Linked DNA regions of Arabidopsis thaliana. The protein of the gene in region 2 interacts with the protein of the main gene of each other region in a pairwise test. Each region holds a gene or a part of one and is shown on either strand. Other genes may lie near its edges.

Region 1 (4,722 bases), on a different chromosome or scaffold from region 2:
ATAGATTATGATAGATGTAGGGGAGTGATTTAGCACCACTCAGTTAACTCGACTCTAACCTCAATAAACAAAACCTTCGAAATGTTTTGTCGGGCTCGGCACATTTAGCGTGAAAATGAGTTTTTTTTGTGTGAAAATAGATAGATCGAGATTGACTTAACATAAAATGGAAAGATTGACTCGAAAATACTTTCAATATCATCAATATTGAGGAGGAGAAAAGAAAAAAATACCGAAGATAAAAATTTTGGAAGGAAAACATATTCGAAGACCTAGATGGAGAAGTATAAATACAAATGAGCAGTCGCAAAGTGGGGCATCCACAATTCGTCTCTAAAGATCCCTAGACATCCAAATTCACAAGAAAAAAAAAACTAACTTGTTATCAAAGTTAGTTCAATCTCTTTGTAATTGTATCAGTTCGTTCTTGAGCTTAATAAATAAAATTATTTCCGCGACACTACTTCCCTTAATTAAGCTTGCCGGTTTATATGTGCAGATTTGACTCACACAATAGACATTAGACAATATAGTATGTTTTTGAAATATATTTTTTGAGGTTATTTCATGATAAGTAATACTGCAAAATATAAATTTTTCAAACATAAATTTATACATTGAACCTCATATCTATTTGTTTCTATTATTTAATTTATTTTAATGACAATGTGTTCTATACTATATTTAAATTTTAGTAAATAATTTTCTTAAATTATATAATTTTTCAATACTTTCTTAATAAACTTCTAGATGTGAAATAGTTTTATAAAAAAAAAAATACATATTCTGGTTATATTTTTTCATATAGAAAAGAAATGGTGTGATTCATATTTTTTCAAGTTTTCTAAGAAATCAAATAATGAGTAAGTCAACAAATAAAATCTCATATAGTGGCTAAGAACTTGAAGTCATTTAGTGAGAAGGAAACCAATAAAAAAATTTACCTATAAATTAAAGGGCAATTAAATGTAAGAACAGTTTAAATAATTAAAAATTATTAACTAAAGTAATGAATCTATTAATTAATTGAAAATAAATATATGTGAAAGAATATTTGTACAAAAAAGCAAATAAAATATCTAGTAGATATATTTCTGAAATAAGTATTTAGAAATTTAATTTTTTGTTTTACTTGATTTTTCAAAATTTTATACCAAAATACAATTTATTTTAATCTTATAATTTTATTTCTAATCAAGGTGTTCCAATTTCATTTCGCTAAATGTTATAGAACCGATCCCAATACGAACGCGAACCTCACTTATCAGCTCTCAATCTCTCAACTCGAAGTTTGTTTGTGTGAATCAAAGAAGAAACAGAGAACAACACACAAGAATTTGTTACCCAGTTCAATCTAATCTGTGTGATTAGATCTACGTCTGGAGCCAGATAGATCCGGCAATCCACTATATGAGATGTTTACAAACTTCTCTGAGCTCAATACAAGATCAATGAAGAACCCTAATTTTCTGGGTTTAAGAGAGATCGTAACAACTTTCTAACGGAATGAAGAAGAAGAAGATAACAGACTTCTATTTATATGTGTTTGACTTCGAGCATCGAAGCCTCTTTCAGAATGAGAGTCTTCCAATCATAACTTCCTTCTTCTGTAAACCAAAGCGAACCGTTTCAATAACCAACTCCAATCTGCTGTTAAACCGAATGTCATCAGACCAACATTAAACCGGAATTGGATCATATTCATAACATTATATCAAACAAGGAAAAAAAAACTATTCACTATTGTCGGCAATAATTAACTTTTTGAAAAATCGAAACAACAAGGCCACCACGTCTACAAAAATCAGAAACCAATTCATGCACATGATATATGTGTTTAATAAATATAATTTATATGGACCCTCTTAATAATATAATTTATATGGAGCATTTATTATTATGGGTACATCATATCATATCTGTTTTTACCTTAATAAATAGAATAACATTTTTTTCTGTGACACACATTGAAGAGAGAAAACTATTTGTCCCACAGTCAATTACGGGTCTAAAATTTGGTAGTAACAATAATACTTTCATATGCATATCTTAACATGAGAAAAAAATGTTTTCACTGGTCGAGCAGAGTTATATATATATTTAGATATTGACGAAAAGTCTTCATTGACAATAAATTACATTGGTTTCGTCCATCAGTACAAGATTGGATATGATCTAAAAAATCAGAGGCAAATCAATCAAGATTAAGAAGACGACAATGGAAGAGCCATTTCTTCCGAGAGACGAGCAGTTAGTCTCTTGTAAATCCACATGGCAAAGTGGTCAGGTCACCGTCGAGCTGAAGAAAGTGAGCCGCTTGGCCGCTCCTATGGCCACCGTAACCATAGCTCAGTACTTATTGCCTGTCATCTCAGTCATGGTCGCCGGCCACATCGGCGAGTTGGAGCTCGCCGGTGTCGCGCTTGCCACGTCTTTCACAAACGTTTCCGGCTTCAGCATAATGGTAATTATGCTATTACTCTCTCCTCTTCATTTCAAGAACTCAATTAACTTTCCAATATTGAAATATTGCTGCATTCTTTTTTGTGTAGTTTGGGTTAGTTGGTGCATTGGAAACTCTTTGTGGCCAAGCCTATGGAGCAGAACAATACGAAAAAATCGGAACCTATACATACTCTGCAATGGCTTCCAACATACCAATTTGTTTCATCATATCAATTCTATGGATTTACATCGAAAAGCTCTTGATCACTCTCGGGCAAGAGCCTGACATCTCTAGAGTCGCTGGCTCCTACTCATTGTGGCTCGTACCGGCTTTGTTTGCCCATGCTATTTTCTTACCACTGACTCGGTTTCTGCTAGCACAAGGGTTGGTTATTTCCCTGCTATACTCTGCCATGACCACCCTTTTGTTCCATATTGCGGTTTGCTGGACTTTGGTTTTCGCGCTTGGTCTTGGAAGCAATGGAGCTGCTATTGCTATTAGTTTGTCTTTCTGGTTTTACGCTGTGATACTCTCATGTCATGTGAGATTTTTCAGCTCTTGCGAGAAGACTCGCGGATTTGTATCAAATGATTTTATGTCTAGTATCAAGCAGTACTTCCAGTACGGAGTCCCATCCGCTGGATTGATTTGGTAAGTAAACCATTTTCACGTGTCTTGTTGGTTAAGTTACAATACACCGATGCTTCCTCTTATCTTGCTTGCATTTTTTTGTCTTCTTTGATAGCTTAGAATGGTGGCTGTTTGAGCTACTCATACTCTGCTCAGGTCTTCTCCCAAACCCAAAACTCGAGACATCTGTTCTTTCGATTTGGTAAGTATCATATTACTTCTTTTTATCCTATGTGTTCTCTTTACCAAAATGTATTAATCTTATGTCTTTCATGTTATCAGTCTTACAATAGGAACTTTACACTATGTGATTCCATCTGGAGTCGCGGCGGCTGTGAGGTATGATCTCAACTCTCAAACCAGAACAAGTGTTCAACAATTCCTTTCTCAACATTAGTCATTTGGTTTCTTGAAGCACACGAGTGTCAAACAAATTGGGAGCTGGAAATCCTCAAGTTGCTAGGGTTTCCGTATTGGCAGGGCTTTGTCTCTGGCTTGTAGAGTCAGCTTTCTTTAGCACACTTCTCTTCACCTGCCGAAACATCATAGGCTACACATTCAGCAACAGCAAAGAAGTTGTTGACTATGTTGCTGACATATCTCCTTTGCTCTGTCTCTCCTTCATCCTCGACGGATTAACGGCAGTTCTAAATGGAGTGGCTAGGGGATGTGGGTGGCAACACATTGGAGCTTTGATCAACGTGGTGGCTTATTATCTTGTAGGAGCTCCTGTTGGAGTTTACTTAGCTTTCAGTCGTGAGTGGAATGGAAAAGGACTCTGGTGCGGTGTTATGGTTGGATCCGCGGTGCAAGCCACTTTACTGGCTATCGTCACAGCCTCCATGAACTGGAAGGAACAGGTTAGAGTTTGTTACATTCTAGTTTTTTGAATGCTCTGAAGTAACTGGACTCTATTATTTGCAGGCTGAGAAAGCAAGGAAGAGAATAATCTCTACTGAAAATGGATTGGTTTAAATAAAGGTTGTTCCTAAGAGCTATCTCAAAGTATTTGCAAGTCATGTGCAAAAAAACATGTAATGTTATTTTGATGGGTTATAATATTTTTTTGTAAAACTTTTATCCAGGATTTATACATTTTTTCTTGAGTTGATATTTTCGTTAGTTAGAAAAATTATTCGAATTGCACATGCTGAAAGATGATTTATTTATTTTCTTCAAACTTTAATATACAAATGTAACAAGTAAATAAAAACTCATTAGTTCCAAACACCATGGGATTAAAAATGGCCTCAGCTGCAATCAGTCCTATCTTTATAAAAAACAACTATGTGAGTCCTATCCATTATCCCAATAAGTCCACTAAAAATGGCCTGTATGGCACAACCAGATTTAACACTTAGTATTAACTTTAAAATTCACAAAAGAAAATAATCTCTCTTATATATGGTCCAAACATAATAACTTTACACTAATGATCCATAAGAGTTTTCACATACATGTTTCTTGACGTAAATCATTAAAAATATATAGATGAAAAATACTTATAGAAGATTCAAATTCCACATAGTCCACTAATGTTATGTCATTTAATTAGTAGGTTTAGTGGTGAAAACTTAATACGAATTCCTACCTTTTTATCAGCCTCAGCTGCACGTTTGAACTGTCTAGTTGTTATTTAAACCAAA
Region 2 (4,129 bases):
TGGGGCTGACCATTTGGACATTGCCCCTTTGGACATGAACAACCTATTTGACATCCCTATGGTTGTTCCAGAAAGGAATCTGTCATCCTCAGAGAACTGCTTACCATTCCAAGACGCTCTAGCTCATGCCAAGTTGTCGTCCTCTGATCCTCCTTGACGGACATTCGAGGTTCTGTTTCTGTACTTTCATTAATGTGAACTATGTTGTGTTATATATATAGATCGTAGACCATATGTTTTGCTTAAATCTTTCAATTGAACCAAAGATGAAAGATGTAATAAGGTTCGTGTAAGAGCCAAGGATTAAAGTTTTTAGCAACTCTTTATCAAACTATTGTTTTTTTATTCATTGTGGTGAATTTGATGCCTTATTGATCTTATACATGTTTGGCCTAAATGTGTAATGTTACTTCTTTTGACTAAAAGACATAGTTTTGCTCAACAATAATTCAGACGTTGAGTAGAAAAATATATAATGGTATAAGATCTGTGTAAAATAGCACAAGATGATTCAGTTTAACCAAAAATGGTATAATACACAAGGATTAAAGTTTCTAGAAACTCTTTACCATTACAGCGCTGATACCCAAGGATGATCAGATGAAAAACTAAACTATAACAGGTTTAGTAATCTGCATGTTAACGGGCAAGTATGATAATTCGGATTTGTAGAAATATTCCGAATTGGTAAAGGACCATATTTATATTCTGGTATTTCAAGTAACTAGAAATTGTTTTGAATAAATATTACGAAAAGGTTTTGATTTTTTATAGAAATATTAGTTTGAGAAACTTTCGATAATTCTATAAAACTTTTAGATAATTGAGGTCACTCTATTACTTTAACAACACACGTCGTATATATTTAGTTTGGTTTGTTTTTAGTAAATATGTAAATTATATAAACTTTAGTAATTTAGTGTTTATGTTTTCAGTATGACTAGAATTTAACCCGCGGTATACCGCGGAGACAATTTATTTTTTAAAGTTACTATATATAAAAGTTTGTAAATTATATTTATCTATAAAATATTTTTATTTTATAGTTTACGATTGTTATTAAGTAACGTCCTGTCAAACCCGTCCCGCCAATTCGTCCCGTAAAAAAAACTCACTGATTTTATTTATGATATGTTTATGAATCATTGTCTAAATATTTTTTAATTTTGTAGTAATTAAATGCTATCAAATATCTCTGCGGTTTGATGATTATAATCTGCGGTTTGATGATTATAATCGAATTATTATAGTCATGTAGAAAAACAATATCAAAAATGATAATTTTGTAGTAATTAAATGATATTAAATATTTCGAAAGTTTTATTTTAGTAACTAATCGTGTAGTTAATGTGGAGAGATTTTGGGAAGATTGTCAAATATTTAATTCAAAGATTTTCTTTATAAGTATCAAAAACAATTATTAAATGCCAGTGGCAGCCACTGTAAATAAATCCAAACTCCAGGATTTATTTCATAAAGTGGCTGCAAAAATGTATATATAAATATAAATTACATTTGTTCTCCGGTTATTCAATAAATAATGCAGATATTTAAAAAAAAAAAAAAGAGAACGAAGAGAAAATGAGTCATATGGGCCAAAAATTGACAAAAGTCATGTAGCAAGCAGACATTGTTTAGTCAGATGTTATTTTCTTAATTCTTTTTTAGTCTTAGGTTATTTGCATATTCCCTAATTTTTCTTTTGGTCGGGATTTGTTGGAAGTTTATTCAATATATAAACTAAAGCAGGTTTTACAAAAATGTTTATGTTTAGTAAAAAAGTTAAATATACTAATTTCCCATTAAAATCCATCTTTAATATTTGACCACAAACTGAGATATTTTTAAAAGTTAACGTCGTTTGTTTAACAGTTATCGTTTCATTTTCACCAACTCTATGCCGCTTTCTTCGCAATTTTGAAGTTACATGGACGAAGACGGAGAGAAACGTGTTCGTACCAAACGATTATGTTCTCCAGAATCTTCGGACAAAAAATCTGGTTATGAAGTTGATTGGGTAAGAGATTTGCCAGAATCTTTGATTTGTCATGTTCTCTTGAATCTTTCGACAAAAGATGTGATTAAAAATTGTGTCTTATCCACGAAATGGAGATATCTGTGGAGGTATGTTCCTGGTTTGGATTTGGATTGTAGTGATTTCACCGAATACAATACTTTTGTGAGTTTTGTGGATAGGTTTCTGAGTACCAACACTGAGTCGTACTTAAATAAGTTTAAGTTAGGATTCGATTGCGATCTTGTTGGGGATGAGGAGACTGGTAATGCTCAAATGGCGCGGTGGATCAACGATGTTGTCAAACGGAAAGTTCAGCATCTCGATCTTGAGTGGGGTGCATTGGAAATACCTCCAATAGTTTACGTGTGTAAGAGTTTGGTATCTTTAAAGCTTTGTGGTGTAATCTTACCAATTCCTGAGTTTGTTTGTTTACCGTCTGTGAAAGTTATAGTTCTAGATTGGGTTAAGTTTGCAAATGATTTGGCTTTGGAAATGCTTATCTCAGGCTGCCTAGTTCTCAAAAGCTTAACGTTATGCAGAAGTAACAATGACAATGTAAAAGTGTTACGTGTGAGATCTCAGTCTCTATTGAGCTTCAACTATAATGGCCCCAATACCATGGGTCCTGAATATGAGGAACTAATAGTTGAAATTGATACTCCCAAGCTTCAAGATCTAACGCTCTCTCACCGTATGACTGCAAGTTTCATAATAAAGAATCGGAGTTCTCTTGTAGGGGCACATATCAATATTGAGTTTAACTTTTGTTTTGGAGAGAAGTTTGATCCGAAGAATCTACCAAAGAGAGAAATGATTCGTAATTTTCTTGTCGGGATCTCTGGTGTTAAAAATATGGCCATCGCTGCATGTACACTTGAGGTAACGTTTATTGAATTCGCTATTTTAATGTTAACTTTATCCTGATCTTTTTCTTGTTTTTGTTGTTGTTGTAGGTCATTTATGATTACTCAAGATGTGAACCACTGCCCTTATTTCGTAACCTATGTCTCTTGAGTGTTGAGTTCTATGAGGACAGATGGGAAATGTTGCCATTCTTTCTTGAGAGCTGCCCGAATCTAAAATCTCTTGTCGTGGTAAGGATTGTTTACTTAAAACTTATGTACTTTCTTTGGTATAATAATGCAAATGGGGAAAGTATCATAATTACTCCAACTTGTTTCTTTCACTTGGTTGTAATTTCAGGGATCTAATAGATATAGAATGGAGAGAACTAGTATCATATCAGGACATCGATGTCTCTTATCATCTCTCGAGTATGTTGAGATAGAAACCCCATTGACAGGGGAGGTCTTTGAGATGAAACTTGTGAGTTACTTACTTGAGAACTCACCAATCCTCAAGAAACTCACTATACATTTGCATGATAATTCTAGAAAGAAAGCAGAATGTGAAATCCTTACCATTCCAAGACGCTCTAGCTCATGCCAAGTTATCCTTCTCTGATTCACGTTGACGAACATACTGTGAACTCTGTTGTCTTTCGGTACTTTTACTACTATGAACTATGTTGTGTTGTAGATCTGTAAGAAGATCATATGTTTGTCTTAAATATTTCAATTGAACCAAAAATGTAATAAGGTCCGTGTAAGAACCAAGGATTAAAATTTCCAAAAACTCTTTATTTATCTGGACTATTTGATTTTTTTATTCATTGTGGTGAATTTGATGTCTTGTAGATCGTAAGGAAAATTTATTTTTTGACTCAATGAATTGTTTTTGCTTAACAATAATAATTCAGAGGTTGAGTAGAAAAAGTATAATGGATTACAAAAAGGAAAAACAAAGCACAAGATGTTTGATGCTTCAGTTTAACTGAAAATGTTATAAGATTTGTGTAAGACCCTGGGATTAAAGTTTATAGAAACTCTTTACCAATATAGCTAGATGGTTAGATGAAACTAAACTAAAAACCGAATAAACCTAGCTCGCTTTCTTTTTTCCTTTTCTAAGGTTGCAAGAAGGAATCCAGTGTCGGACCAAATAGCTCCGCTTAAAGCAGGCAAGACAGCCAGTGCAACGATTCATAGACCACCGAAAGCTGTAGCAGGTGTAATATATCAGTTAACTTATTTATTTATTTTTTGCTAAACA

The links. The genes of interacting proteins can lie anywhere in the genome.
Region 1: the proteins of AT1G66300 (region 2) and AT2G04080 interact in a protein complementation assay, tested with the Arabidopsis thaliana proteins (one large-scale study listed by BioGRID).

The regions. Positions count from the first base shown.
Region 1 is NC_003071.7:1,356,656-1,361,377, reverse strand, and holds AT2G04080 (MATE efflux family protein), read left to right. Parts: upstream 1-1,974; 5' UTR 1,975-2,218; coding exon 2,219-2,464; intron 2,465-2,552; coding exon 2,553-3,097; intron 3,098-3,191; coding exon 3,192-3,278; intron 3,279-3,358; coding exon 3,359-3,415; intron 3,416-3,491; coding exon 3,492-3,936; coding exon of another isoform or gene 3,937-3,966; exon of another isoform or gene 3,967-4,000; coding exon 4,001-4,051; 3' UTR 4,052-4,222; downstream 4,223-4,722.
Region 2 is NC_003070.9:24,715,849-24,719,977, reverse strand, and holds AT1G66300 (F-box/RNI-like/FBD-like domains-containing protein), read left to right. Parts: upstream 1-1,927; coding exon 1,928-2,896; intron 2,897-2,970; coding exon 2,971-3,111; intron 3,112-3,220; coding exon 3,221-3,481; 3' UTR 3,482-3,613; downstream 3,614-4,129.